Linked DNA regions of Canis lupus familiaris. The protein of the gene in region 1 interacts with the protein of each later gene in a pairwise test. Links are inferred from orthologs where the notes say so. Each region holds a gene or a part of one and is shown in the gene's direction. Other genes may lie near its edges.

Region 1 (7,892 bases):
TGGGCCCTCACTAACATTGCTTCTGGGACATCAGAACAGACCAAGGCTGTGGTCGATGGAGGTGCTATCCCAGCATTCATTTCTCTGTTGGCATCTTCCCATGCCCACATCAGTGAACAAGCTGTATGGGCTCTAGGAAACATTGCAGGTACTTGGATTTAAAATTCTTTGGACTGGGATCCCTGGGTGGCTGAGTGGTTTAGCACCTGCCTTTGGCCCAGGGAGTGATCCTGGATTCCCAGGATCGATTCCCACATTAGGCTCCCTGCCTTGAGCCTGCTTCTCCATCTGCCTATGTCTCTGCCTCTCTCTCTTTCTGTCTCTCATGAATAAATAAGTAAAGTCTTTTTAAAAAAATAAATAAAATTCTTTGGACTATCTCTGATCATACTGAGGTTGGGAGAAGTGCCTTGTCCATAAGTAAGAGTGACCTGTGTGTTAAGATTTAAACTTGTTTGCTTCCAGTGCTTATCAGGGCTGCTAATGGCATATAAGTAAGTTAGGGAATTTCCGAGAGTATTGTGTTTGCGTTAGGACACTGGTGAACTCAGTCATTGAATATTGATGGTGCTAGACAAGTAGGTTATAATTAACCTTGCCTTTTTTTAGGTGATGGTTCAGTTTTTCGAGACTTGGTTATCAAGTATGGTGCAGTTGACCCACTGTTGGCTCTCCTTGCAGTTCCTGATATGTCATCTTTAGCAGTAAGTTACTAATAAGTTAGTTTACTTCTTGATTCTTATTTTTTCCCACCCCCTGAAAATACACAGGAGTTCTCACTGCATTTTTCTTTCCCCTCAGTGTGGTTACTTACGTAACCTTACTTGGACACTCTCAAACCTTTGTCGCAACAAGAATCCAGCACCCCCGTTAGATGCTGTTGAGCAGATTCTTCCTACCTTAGTTCGTCTCCTGCATCATGATGATCCAGAAGTATTAGCAGATACCTGCTGGGCCATTTCCTACCTTACTGATGGTCCAAATGAACGGATTGAAATGGTTGTGAAAACAGGAGTTGTGCCCCAACTTGTGAAGCTTTTAGGAGCTACTGAATTACCCATTGTGGTAAGTTTTTAACTTTTAGCTAAAAATATTAAACCTTAAGCATGGTCAGTTGATACTAACAATTGACATTGCCTATTTTAGGCCATGATGGGCCTCTGATTTGTCAGAACCTTTATAGAGTTTTTGAGCAGTGCTGGAAAAAATAAAAGATAACCACTGGCATCAACTTTTTTTTCTTTTCTTTTTCTTTTCAGACTCCTGCACTAAGAGCCATAGGAAATATTGTCACTGGGACAGATGAACAGACTCAGGTTGTAATAGATGCAGGAGCACTTGCTGTCTTTCCTAGCCTGCTAACGAACCCCAAAACTAATATTCAGAAGGAAGCTACATGGACGATGTCAAACATCACAGCTGGTCGCCAGGACCAGATACAGCAAGTTGTGAATCATGGATTAGTCCCATTCCTCGTTGGTGTTCTCTCTAAGGTAATGAAGTCTTAGTATTTAGTCAAAGAATGTTAGTATTTATGGATGGACATTTGGTAGAGCTGTGCTTGATAAGATTCTTAATGTGCCAATATTGGATTCTACCTAGAGTCCTTTTGCTAAATAGTGGCCAGTAACCTCCTTCACTTAAGATTAGATGGAATCTGTTGGTAGTTAGAGTTGTTTTTCTATAACCATACTTTTGGGATCCTATTTTTACAATTGTTCTGAATTAAACTTGTTTCCTTATGCTTATTAGGCAGACTTTAAGACACAAAAGGAAGCTGTATGGGCTGTGACCAACTATACAAGTGGTGGAACAGTTGAACAGATTGTATACCTCGTTCATTGTGGCATAATAGAACCATTGATGAACCTCTTAACTGCAAAAGATACCAAAATTATTCTGGTTATTCTAGATGCCATTTCAAACATCTTTCAGGTAAGTTATAAGGTAGCATTTGAACTTGGCCTTGATGGTAATGGATGATATTTTAACCCACGGGAGGGCAGCTAAGTTTGCTCAGTAGGCCACAGAATTAGAAAGGCTGCTTATGTGGGCCACACTCTTGGTAAGACGTGACAAGGGATTATAAGAGATTTAAAGGAGATGACAAGGGGATGACCTGAATTTAAATCAAGTCCATATGTGGACACAATTCATTCCTATCTATTTTGTCAGAAATCTTTAATTCTTCAATGTCCTACTGAATTATGGTGAAATTAAATTTTGATGACTTAGTTATCCATTTTATTTTTTTTCTGATTCCCTTCCTAATTGACCCGAGCATGCTAGCATATGACACTTTGTCACAGTGGTTGGGGATAGGTAGGTCCTACCTAATGACTTTAAACTTCTGATTATGGAAATTCTACCTAGAAGAGTCTAGAATAATGATGCTTGGTGTATCTGTCACCCAGCATAAATAAATTGTCAACATTTGGCCTATTTTTCTACTCCTTCTTACCTAAACCCTCTAAATTATTTTGAAGCAAATAAATTATTTAATCTGTAAAAATTTATGTATCCTAAAATTTGAAGACTTTAAAACCACAATGTCATTTTTATACCTAATAAATTCTTGATTATCAGTAAGTAATCCAATCAGGGATGTTTATTTTTATACACCTTAGGCCATCTTTGTCCTTAGACGATGGTTCTCTACCTTGACTACACTTTGATGTTATCAGAGGTGCTTTTTAAAAAAGATTTTTTCTTTCATTCATTCATTCATTCATTTATTCATTCATTTATGAACCTGAGCATGTGTGGCAGGGGCAAAGGGGGAGGGAGAGAGAATCTCAGCAGACTCCATGCTGAGAGTGGAGCCCAAAATGGAGCTCAGTCCCACAACCCCTGAGACCATGACCTGAGCTGAAACCAAGAGTCAGATGCTTAACTGGCTTGAGCTACCCAGGCACCCCTGAGGTGCTTTTATAAAACAGTAATATTCTGTTCCCATCAAAGACCAAACTTGGTTATGGTAACATTTTTATTTTTTTTTATTTTTGTTTTTTTTTAAACTTTCTTTTTTTTTAATTTTTTATTAATTTAATTTATTTATTTATTGAGAGAGAGAGAGAGAGAATGGCTGGGACACAGGCAGAGGGAGAAGCAGGCTCCATGCAGGGAACCTGATGTGGGTCTCTATCCCGGATTTCCAGGATCACACCCCAGGCTGCAGGCGGCGCTAAACCGCTGCACCACCGGGGCTGCCTGGTTATGATAACATTTTTAAAGTTGCCCAGGTGATTTTGATTCATAGAAATGATTTGAGACCTACTGTAAGATCTAGCTGAGAGCTACAGAAGTAGTTGTTAAGAACAAGTATAGATCTGATCACCTTGAATTTTTTGAAAATGTAAACTGGAAATAAAACCATCTCATAGGGTTGTTGAAGGAACTTTAAAGTGGTTGTCTGAGATCCATCAATACCCAAACATAAACACGGTTTTCCTTTTTTTTTTTTTTTTTTTCACGGTTTTCATTAAAATAGAACATTCAGTAAATTCCACTAAACTTGGATATTTTTTTTAGGCTGCTGAGAAACTAGGTGAAACTGAGAAACTTAGTATAATGATTGAAGAATGTGGGGGTTTGGACAAAATTGAAGCTCTACAAAACCATGAAAACGAGTCTGTGTACAAAGCTTCATTAAACTTGATTGAGAAGTATTTCTCTGTAGAGGTGAGTAACATGGTAAAGTTAACAAGAATTTGGAAAATACACAAAGTCAAGCCCATAAGATTTTTTTCTTCCTTATACTTTTTAAATGAGCCCTGTGACCTTGTTAAATATGGCAAAATATCAGTGTGAGTAGGACATAATGTATATATATATTTTGCTTCTTAAATATTTGGCTTGATGATCATATAATCTTTAGAAATTAAAAAAAATTTTTTAAAAATTACCCCTCTTTCTTTAGAATGAACAGTCTTAAGGACTTTAGAGTATCTTGAGAGTAAGTTTGTATAGGAGATGATGGAAAAGTGGGCCAACCCCACTGCCATCTTCTGGGGCTAATAGGCCATCTTCCCATTTCCTTTTTTTTTTTTTTTTTTTAATTTTTTTTTAATTTATTTGTGATAGTCACAGAGAGAGAGAGAGAATGAGGCAGAGACACAGGCAGAGGGAGAAGCAGGCTCCATGCACCGGGAGCCTGACGTGGGATTCGATCCCGGGTCTCCAGGATCGCGCCCTGGGCCAAAGGCAGGCGCCAAACCGCTGCGCCACCCAGGGATCCCCATCTTCCCATTTCCTATGGAAAAGTGACAGGTGGGGAAGAAAGTCTGCTGTGGTAGCATTCCTTAGTCCATTCGGAATCTTCCATCTCCCAGGCGCTCCTGAATTGGCAAGTTTTCAGCAGCTTTCCCTCCACTATTTCAAATACTGAAATATGGTACGGCATTGATTAGTATAATATGCAGATGAAGACCTTAAGAGTAAATAGAGACTTCTAGGCAGGCTACTTCCTAGAAATGTGCTATGTGTGTGAAATTATATTGTTTGGTTTTGTTTTTTAATACTTCCAGGAAGAGGAAGATCAGAATGTTGTGCCCGAAACTACCTCTGAAGGCTATACATTCCAAGTTCAGGATGGCACTCCTGGGACCTTTAACTTTTAGATTGTACAGCTGAGACAGAAAGTTGTTTGTTGTGTACTGTTTGGTAGAAGTTTGTCTTACTGTTTCTCTACTAAGAACTCTTTTTAAATGTGTTTTGTTATTGTAGCACTTTTTACAACGAAACTATACTTGACCAGTTCTGAACTGTACAAACTGTATGAAGCTCCTCCTCTCAGTGGGTTGCTTATTTCTATGTGGAATCTTCTATCTTACAGTGTCCTGTAAATAAAGATTAAATTCCACCCTTTTCTCTACCTCACCGTTCCTATGCATTACTTTCTAATTTGGAGTTCTTAAGATTGCAGATGAAGGGTGACAGAACCAAACCAATGTGACCAACCAGAGGTGTAATTCTGGTGGCAGATGACATTTGATATCAGGTTTGTGATGTCCTCAAAGATAAAGGAGTCATAACTCTTCTGCCCACTTCTGAGCTCTGGGTTTGCTCTAGGCTGCTTCCATTCTTTGTCAGTAATGGCTGTTGGCACTTGCAGCTTCATATCCACTATACTCCAGCCAGAATAGAATTTTTCAGAAGTTTGCATAAGAAAATGAACAGAATTTCCCAGAAGGCTTCAGCCAATATCTCCTTTAAATCTCACTGGCCAGGGAGTGAGAGTGAGGCCAGGGAGTGAGGCTCCTTGCATGGAGCCTGCTTCTCCCTCTGCCTGTGTCTCTCATGAATAAATAAAATAAAAAAAATATATATATATACATATATACATACACATATTCTACACATATATGTATGTGTGTATATGTATGCATATTAATCATAATTAGGATGTTTATATATACGTGTGTGTAATATATACATGTACATAAAATTTAATATATATACACATGTGTATATATATATTTATTTATTTATATATATAAAATTAGAAGTCTCAAGCTACAAGTAGAATTCATTCCTCCCAAACTTCAAGGCTGAACATGGTTTCAAAGCTGTTGGCATCACCTGGAAAGTTTACCCACAAATTCTGTTTAATTGGTAAGGGGTGGGGTCCCAGTATCTGATATTTTAATTTTAATCCCCATACATTCTTCCTGTACAGTCCAGGTTGGAAGGCACTAATCTAAGGAATAGTTACTATTAGCAGCATAGGAAATGGGCTTGGGGGAAGGAGAAGGGAGGGTTAATAAGGAGCCCCACTAGTCCTAAGGACAAATGAAATGCACCTTAAAAGCACTACTGTCTTTTTCCTTTGATTCATGGAAAAGTAATGAGCCAAGCCTCCACTGCTGATATTGGACAGCTTTGCCTGGTTGTTTTGCCATAGACGATCTAGAGCTGACGTGATGGGGGTGGGCATTTGGGTTGAAGACTCAAAGTGTGATAGGACCACAAAGGGCTACTATATTCAGTTTTTAAAATATGCTAGTTTTGCAAATCCGTATAATGCAACAGATTTCCATTTACTTTCTCAGTGGATATGAATGAACATGATATTCTTTTTTTTTTTTTTAATTTTTATTTATTTATGATAGTCAGAGAGAGAGAGAGAGAGAGAGGCAGAGACACAGGCAGAGGGAGAAGCAGGCTCCATGCCCCAGGAGCCTGACATGGGATTCGATCCCGGGTCTCCAGGATCGCGCCCTGGGCCAAAGGCAGGCGCCAAACCGCTGCGCCACCCAGGGATCCCTGAACATGATATTCTTAACCCTTCAGTTCATTAACCTATACATACGTAACGTTTTGCCTTTTGCAGAGAATAGGCTTAAAGTTCCTGCTATGAAATAATATTTAATGCTTATTTACGTATAGAAATAGCAAATACTTCAGCTAATACTTCTTTAAAGTACCTCCTGCAGCCAAGTTTTTGATTTGGAACACCGAGGCATGTTACATTCCGTCCTCCTGAGCTTAGGGCGTCCTGTTGGGAGCCCTGGTCATTTTCTCGGCTTTTTATATGCAAAGGCTTCCATAGAGGAGAGGCAGAAGAGAAGTCACGAAACTACACAGACTGCCTTCCTGCTCCCACCTACTTGCTCTACTGCCCTTTTTTTCCTACCCTTGCTCTAAGGTAAGTCCCTAAGATCCTGGACTCAAAAGTCTTGAATGTGAGAAAAATCTTGGAAGTAAAGCTGGACACCATAGGTTTTTGTTTTAAGAGAGCTGAGGCTGAGTGGGCTCAGAGGGACCAGTGGAATACACACTGGTAAGAAGCATAAGGTCTGTTGTTTTTAGAGGGAAAACATGACCCAATAGTGAAGTAATGGACAGGAGACAGCTGATTGCCAGAAATACATTTTCATATTTTAGATAGCATTTTTAGCACGCTAGCTCCTTAGAGTTAAAATCCATAGATAACATTTTTAGCAAGCATGCTGGTTTCCTTAGAGTTCAAATCCATTTCTATGTTTTTTTGAACTTGATAAGATTTTCTAAGAAGGAGTTTTCATATTCAGCTTGATTTTTGAAAGTGATAAAATTTTATATAGCTACCAACATTTTCCTTTTTCACAGTGTTGTCTAGCTTCTTTTAATGCACTACTAAAGTTTGTAGCTCCTTTGACTTTTTTTTAAAGTAATGCCTATGCTCTTTTTTTTTTTTTTAAGATTTTATTTATTTATTCCTTGAAGACCCAGAGAGAGAGGCAGAGACACAGGCAGACGGAGAAGCAGGCTCCATGCAGGGAGCCTGATATGGGACTCCATCCTGGCTCTATGGGATCAGGCCCTGGGCTGAAGGCAGCGCTAAACCGCTGAGCCACTGGGGCTGCCCTCCTTTGACTTTTATTTCTTTTTAAGATTATTTGTTTATTTATTCATAGAGACACACACAGAGAGAGAGAGGCAGAGACACAGGCAGAGGGAGAAGCAGACTCCATGCAGGGAGCCTGACGTGGGACTCGTTCCCCGGTCTCCAGGATCACTCCCTAGGCTGCAGGCGGCGCTAAACTGCTGCGCCACCGGGGCTGCCCTCCTTTGATTTTTAAATCCCATTCAAGACTTTAATAAATTCTCTTTGCCCATGATTTTCAGTTTGTGTAAATTTGCAGTAAGGTAAGTAGAGGTAGGAAGTAACACTTAATTTTCACAAGGCAAATATCAAGGGAAAAACTAACACTGTGCTCCTTGTAAAAATCCTTAGGGTTACACTGTGGTTAGAGGTTGAACATCAGTGTTAAACATTACACCAAGCATTGCTTTAAATCCTTATCAAGCTACTATTTTTGGAAAAGTAGGAAATATTCCATTTCTTTTTTTTTTTTTTTTTTAAGATTTATTTATTCATGAGAGAGAGAGGCAGAGACACAGGCAGAGGG
Region 2 (7,181 bases), on another chromosome or scaffold:
CAAGCCTCAGTTTCTTGATCTATAAGCCACAGATAATGATAGTACCTACCTCCTAGGGTTGCTATGAGCATTACATGAACTCTGGAAGGTCCTTGACAAACAACAGGTACTTGACAAAATAGCTGTTACTTTTATCATCACTAACAGTAGGTAAAATTTTGTGTACCGTGAAATACAACAGCAACGTAGTACCTGTCATATGAGTAAGAGGCTATTTTTATTCACTAACTGAACAAGCCATTTTTTTTGAACAAGCCATTTATTAAACATTTCCTACAAATAATGACAGCTACCATTTATTGAGCACCTACTCAAGGCCAAGCCTTGTTTGGCCTCTTCATTTGAAATACCTACAACAACCTTTCAAAGTTGTTAAAAAAGGCAATGAGCAGTTTTGGTCCGTTGAACATTTAAGGCTGAAAATACACTAGAAGTTCAAGTATATACCAGGCAGGGCTATTTTATGTACTGAAGACAAGGTAGGTGTTACTATTTCTACTTCACACTCAAGGAAATGGAAACTAAAAGGTTTACCTTTATGACTCCAAAGCTCACACTGAGTTTATTTCTCCAACAGACAAAGCACTATAGGGGAAACCAAAATCACACATGGGCTTGCACCCACAGCTTGTAATCTAGCTGCAGAAAAAAGCCACTTGACAGCAGAGAGGCATTCAGTTATGCTATTACCTGCATTCCTCCAGATCTTGTAATTGCTGCATTAGTCTATCCAATTGTTCTTCTAAATTCTGCTTTAATTTGCTTGTCTCTGTCTTTCCTCTGGAAGCCATTTTGATCTCTAAGTAGAACAACAAGCCCACATACAGTATATATTTGGTTATCTGAAATGATTCAACAAACCAGTGTGATTTAAAACGGGCTATACTCTTTCTGAGCTATAGGTGTGGGAAAGATGGTTGTGCAAAGAGAATTTCATTTTACATATAAAAGTTTAAACTAAAAAAAAAAAAAAGTTTAAACTCATATACTAGTAACATCCCAACAAAAAGCCTGGCAGTCTTCCTAAGTGACTTTACAAGTTAATCAGAAATCTTCACGATTAGTCCATTTTACTTTAAACAAATTTGAATGTTGAAAAAAGTTTTATACAGAAACAGATCAAATGCTTTACCAAGAGACTCATTAAAAGATTCGTTTTCATTCTTTTTTGTTTTTTTAAGGTTTTATTTATTCATTCGTGAGATACAGAGAGAGGCAGAGACACAGACAGAGGGAGAGGCAGGCTCCCTGCAGGGAGCCCGATGTGGGACTCGATCTTGGGTCTCCAGGATCAGGCCCTGGGTCAGAGGCAGACGGTAAACCGCTGCGCCACCCAGGGATCCCGGTTAAACTATTTTAAATGCATTTCTGGGCTGTTGGACACTTTGAAAGCCTTGACTTGGTGCTGTCCGTTAGGTGAAATTTATTCCAGAAAGATTAACTCGCTGGCACCACCTAATATCCAATAAAGGCGGTGCACCTTTGGCAGAAACTGCCGAAAGGACCCTCAAAAACCGGAACCGGACTGGGAGATCCTCCTTCATGCTCACCTGGTCTCTCAGTGCTTTGAACTCTGCAGGCTGTCGACCCGCCCCAAAGTGCATAAACCTCCCGCTGCTGAAGGTCCAAGAGTCATGAGCTTGAGCAAAGCGAAATCGTTCATCAGGACTTACTAGAGGCTCAAAGTCCAAACCACGGGGAGGTGGAGCTAGCTGGGGAGTCGGAAACCATTAGCAGGTAGTTTCCTTTACTCCGCAGGCACTAGTCTAAAGCGGTCCAGGTAACTTCCACGGGGGCAGCCCCGCCCCGGAAGCACACCCTCCTCTTCTGGGGGAGAGGGGAGCCGGGCCAGGAGGGAGGGGAGCCGTCTTCCCCGCGACTGCGCCTTGGGCAGCCTTTCTGGGGTGTCCCTGAGGATAACCCCGCACCCCCAGGTGGCTGGAGGGCAAAGCCAGGAGCACCGACACGACCAGGGCGAAGGGCACACGTTTTCCCGCCTGGACCCGAGCGGCTACGGACCTCAGCCATCCCGGCGCGCCGCAGGCAGGGGCGGCTCCGGCCACCGCCCCAAAGACCCCAGACCCCGTCTCCACCCGGGAACTCGGGGCTCCCGCACTGGGGGGCTGCGGCCGCCGGGCTCGATTAGGCCCCGGCTGCCACCAGAGGTCGCCACGAGCCCCCGCCCCCGAAACTCCTCCGGACCTCCGGGACCAGAACCCGGACAACCTCCTGGGGCCCTCGGGGTTCCCCGCCCCACCGGGCCACGGCCCGGTGCCGGGACTTCGGAGGCAGGGGCCCCGCCTACCTGAGGGTCCCGGCCTGGCGGACGCTCGCAGTAGGAACACTTCCGGCGGACGCATGCACTTCCGGCCTCCGGGAGCCAATGAGGGTGCGGCCACGGGTGTTGCTCAGTCTGGCGTCCGTGCTGCGCGGCGTCTCTCCGGGAGGATTCGGGCGGGTGGGCCCCAGGACCTGGTAAGCCCCCTGCAGGCCGGAGCCCCTGAGAGACCTGGCTCTGGGGAGTCGGCGCAGGTCCCTTCCTCGCAGGCTTGGGGGACTCCGAGATGGTGGCGTCTTTGAGGGGCAGATAGCGGTCCTCGAGGCAAGGTCATAGGTTTAGGACAAGGAGTCCCGCGCCTCCAGTCTTTCCATCCTTCTGGGGAGCCCACATCTTCGGTAGTTTCTCTTTCGAACAGGTGACTCACCCTGGAAAATGGGAAAAGATCCCTTTCCAGAGGCCCCTGGAGCGTGGCGGAGGTGGGCGGGGACGGAGGAGGAAGTGTTCCGTCCCGAAGGACTTCTCTTTCCCTCCTCTTTCCTCGGAAATCCGTCTTTGCAAATCCGTAGAGACGGGGTTTGGCGCTCACGCCCCTGAGGGCACCGCCGGCCGTTGGGCAGCTTGGAAAGTTACCGGGAAACTGGGCGGAAATGCTCCCCTCGCCCGCGGCCCCCGAGTCCCAGGTCCCCGAGGTCGAAGTTCCCCGAGTCCGAGGTCCCCCGAGTCCCAGGTCCCCAGACGTCGTGGGGCTGGCTAGTTGGGCTCGTTCTCTTTCAGCCCCCGACTCCTCCAGACTTCCTTCCAACTAAAGTTCCCAGGGAAGTCGACCACAATGAATTACTTCCCCAGTTCTGATCCTTGGGTTTCTCGTTTTTCTCTATTTTTTTAAAGATTTTAAAATTATTATTATTATTATTATTATTATTATTATTATTCGTTAGCACAAGCTGGGGGACGGGCAGAGGAAGAGAACGAAGCAGACTCCCTACTGAGCAGGGAACCCCATGTGGGGCTCGATCCTGGGACTTGGGGATCATGACCTCAGCCAAAGGCAGAGGCTTCACCCACCAACCCATTCAGGCACCCCCCTGTGTTGTTTTTCAGAGTTAGAGTTGTGCTGTGAAACCCTGGTTCTGGCCCAGCACCGAGAAGCCTTTGCTGTGGTGGGAATGGTTCCAGTGACCCACCTTGCACAACACTTCAGGTCCACAGAATTTCCTTTGTGAAAGTAAGTGACTGCTGTGCTACTGTCATCAGGTCTCGTTTTTGATAACGGTAAATACGTGTGGACACATCCAGGCTTTCAGTAACGCAGATCTCTCAGGGACAGACAGGGTCAGTGCCAAAGCAAAGCACACTGAAAAAAATATGCTTCTTTGCTTTAGCATTTGAAGAACTTGCTAAACAAACGTTCTCTCATTGTGTACTTCCCCTAATTTTGGTTATGACAGTATGTGTTCTCTTCAGGCATTTGTGTGCGATCATCAGAGCTGTGCTGACCCAGGCGTTCTGTTTGCCTGCTCTTCTTTCTTTGTGACTTAGTCTGATTCGGCACTTCTCTGCTTAGAGTGTTCCCTGGATTCTTGTCTAGAGTTCAAGGATAATGAAAAAGTATTCCCAGTGTGTAAGTAAGAGAAATTGGTTTGGGTTCTGGTTCTCAAACAAACACAGAATCTAGGCTTTGGAGGAGGGTGAGGAGGGAAGAGAAGACACTGGAAAAAGAGGAATAACATGTTATATAGGTAGTCACTGGAGAGAGAGCATTGGGGGAAATAACTTCAGAGCTGGGTGGGAATCATAACTGGGAAACCAGAAATACTGGAGCAGTTTGGGACATTTAACACTCTTTTTTTTTTTTTTTTTTTTTTTTTAAGATTTATTTATTGGATCCCTGGGTGGCTCAGCGGTTTAGTGCCTGCCTTCAGCCCAGGGCGTGATCCTGGGGTCCTAGGATTGAGTCCTACATAGGGCTCCCTCCGTGGAGCCTGCTTCTCCCTCGGCCTGTGTCTCTGCTTCTCTCTGTCTCTCTCTGTGTCTCTCATGAATAAATAAATACAATCTTAAAAAAAAAAAAGATTTATTTATTGGAGAGAGAGAACATGAGCAGGAGGGGCAGAGGGAGAGGGAGAGAGAAACTCAAGCAGCCTTCATGCCAAGCGTGGAGTCTATGGGGCTCAATCCCACGACTCTAAGATCACAACCTGAGCTGAAACCAAGAGTTGGACACTTAACCGACTGAACCACCCAGGCGCCCTGGAGTTTAGGACATTTTAACTTGGACTTGGGATGGGAGCCCAGAGAGTGCAAGTTGCTCCAACTTGGTAGGGAAAATGCTGGGACAGATAAAGCTTGAGTGGTTAACTGGAAGGACATTAGCCTGAGGCACGGAGGTGGCTCAGTCAGTTGAGAGGCCGACTCTTGATTTCGGCTCAGGTCATGATCTCAGGGTTGTGAGATGGACCCTGTGTTGGGCTCCACACTTAACTTGGAATCAATTCGAGATCCTCTCCCTCTGCCCCAACCCACACATGCATGTGCACTCTCCCTCCCTCCCTTCTGCCCTCTCTGTCTCTGAAATAAGTAAATAAAATAAATCCAAAAAAAAAAAAAAAAGAAAGAAAGAAAGAAAAAAAGAAAGGGGCTCTTGGGTGGCTCAGTCTGTTAAGCATCTGCTTTTGGCCCAGGTCATGAACCCAAGTTCCTGGGATTGAGCCCTGCATTAGGCTCCCTGCTCAGCGGAGAGTCTGTTTCTCTCTCTCCTCCTCTACCCCTCTCACTCTTGTGCTCCTGCTCTCTCTCAAGTAAGTAAATAAAATCTTAAAAAAAAAAAAAAAAAAAAAAAAAAAAAGAAGCCAAAGGAGCCAAAGGCTCTCCAAACATGTGGATCTCTTTCAAATGTCTACCAGTAGATAGTTTGTACCATTGTAAGTCTTATGTCATGGTTAAAGCATGAATTTTTAGAGTGAAGGTTGTTACACAAACTGTGAGATCTTGAGCAAGTTAAGCAGCCTCTTTTAGCTTTTGTTTTCTCATGTTTGTTTAAAAAGGATGGTAGGAGCACCTGGCTGGCTCAGTGAGGAAGACATGCAACTCTTGATCTTACGGTTTTGAGTTCGAGCCCCATGTTGTGTATAGAGATTATTTATTTTATTTTATTTTATTTTTAAAGATTTTATTTATTTATTTATTCATGATAGAGAGAGAGAGAGAGAGAGGCAGAGACACAGGCAGAGGGAGGAGCAGGCTCAATGCTGCTCCTGGGTCTCCAGGATCACACCCTGGGTGGAAGGCAGGCGCTAAACCACTCAGCCACCAGGGCTGCCCTAGAGATTATTTAAAAATAAATAAACTTAAAAAAAGGAGATACTAGTAGTACCTACTTCATTGGAGTGTTGTAAGGATTACATGAGTGCTTAACCTATTGCTGAGCACACAGGAAGAAAGTGAATGTTAGTCATTATCACTTCAGTTAAATGAGCATAATTGGATATATATTTATAAGGAACAGGTCCATCCAAAGAGAAAGAGTGGAAGTATTGCCATTTAGTGAGGGACACACAAGATAAAATGAGGATATCATAAGCAAGAACCCTACAGCTTTCTGCTCCTCTTCTGTCAATTTCCCAACCCTAGGCAACCACTGATCTACCTTCTATCATTATAAATTAAATAATCTATTCTAGAATTTCATATAGCTTGAATCATACAATGTGTGCCTTTTTTTATCTGGCTCTTTTCATTCAAAATAATGAGATTCATCCATGTTGTGTGTATTAGTAGTTCCTTTTTTTTTTTTTTTTTTTAAGATTTTATTTATTCATAAGAGACACAGAGAGAGAGAGGCAGAGACATAGGCAGAGGGAGAAGCAGGCTCCGTGCAGGGAGCCCGATGTGGGACTCAATCCTGGGACTCCAGGATCACACCCCAGGCTGAAGGCGGCCCTAAACCACTGAGCCACCCAGGGATCCCCAGTAGTTCCTTTTTTATTGCCTCGTAGTGTTCTGTTATATGGCTATACCAACTTTGCTTATTCATTCATTCTTTTATTCATTCATCTGTTGATTAACATTTGACTTGTTTCTAGTTTTTGGCTATTATGTATAAAGCCAAACCATGTAATTCTTTGTATAGATAGATATTTTCATCTCTTCCCATTATTATTTTTAATGTTCCTCTGTTTTGTTTTGTTTTTTTTTAAAGATTTTATTTATCTATTCATGAGAGACACAGAGAGGCAGAGATATAGGCAGAGGGAGAAGTAGGCTCCCTGTGGGGACTCCATTCTAGGACCCCAGGGTCATAACCTGAGCCAAAGGCAGACGCTCAACCACTGAGCCACTCAGGTGCCCCTGTTTTTGTTTTTTTGTTTTTTTTTAAGTAAGCTCTACACCTAGTGTGGGCTTGATTTCATGACCTTGAGATCAAGAATTGCATGTTCTACCCCGTTTCCCATTATTTTTAAGCTATCTTCTTACTTTATACCTAAGATCCTTTCTCTTGTCTTCTTAAGGACTTTCCTCTATCAATTATTTACTTTCTCAAAGCTTCTGTGACTTCTTCAACTTACTAATATTCTAATTCTTCAAAAAATAATTTAGTAAACAACCTTCTATTAATCATATCTTATGGAATATAGTGTTTAATATCTATGGGTTCTAGTCTCTACATCTGCCTGCCTGTGAGATCTCTACTTGGATGTCTGGTGTGTGCCTCCAATTCAGTACCTATAAAACTGTAGCATCTGTGTGCCTTCCCGCTACACTCCCCCTAATATTCTTTGTTGACTGGTGGCACACCATCTGCCCAGTCCCTTGAGTCAGAGATCTTTCCCCTGCATTTGCTTTTCTCCTCCATTAGGCAACTGATCCACTTGTGAACATTTGACATCATCCCTCCTGTTAT

What was found. The genes of interacting proteins can lie anywhere in the genome.
Region 2: the proteins of KPNA2 (region 1) and NMNAT1 interact in a two-hybrid assay, tested with the Homo sapiens proteins (3 studies listed by BioGRID and IntAct). The two-hybrid records come from large-scale screens. The link is inferred for Canis lupus familiaris from reciprocal best matches to the Homo sapiens genes KPNA2 and NMNAT1.

The regions. Positions count from the first base shown.
Region 1 is NC_049230.1:14,373,788-14,381,679, forward strand, and holds the end of KPNA2 (importin subunit alpha-1), read left to right. Parts: coding exon 1-148; intron 149-609; coding exon 610-704; intron 705-801; coding exon 802-1,065; intron 1,066-1,259; coding exon 1,260-1,493; intron 1,494-1,752; coding exon 1,753-1,935; intron 1,936-3,531; coding exon 3,532-3,681; intron 3,682-4,526; coding exon 4,527-4,619; 3' UTR 4,620-4,873; downstream 4,874-7,892.
Region 2 is NC_049226.1:63,610,949-63,618,129, forward strand, and holds the start of NMNAT1 (nicotinamide/nicotinic acid mononucleotide adenylyltransferase 1), read left to right. Parts: upstream 1-1,842; 5' UTR 1,843-2,305; coding exon of another isoform or gene 2,306-2,360; 5' UTR 2,361-2,389; exon of another isoform or gene 2,390-2,696; intron 2,697-3,382; 5' UTR 3,383-3,506; intron 3,507-3,745; exon of another isoform or gene 3,746-3,902; intron 3,903-7,181. Other genes in the region: protein LZIC, read right to left, coding at 691-842, 1,551-1,639, 2,306-2,360.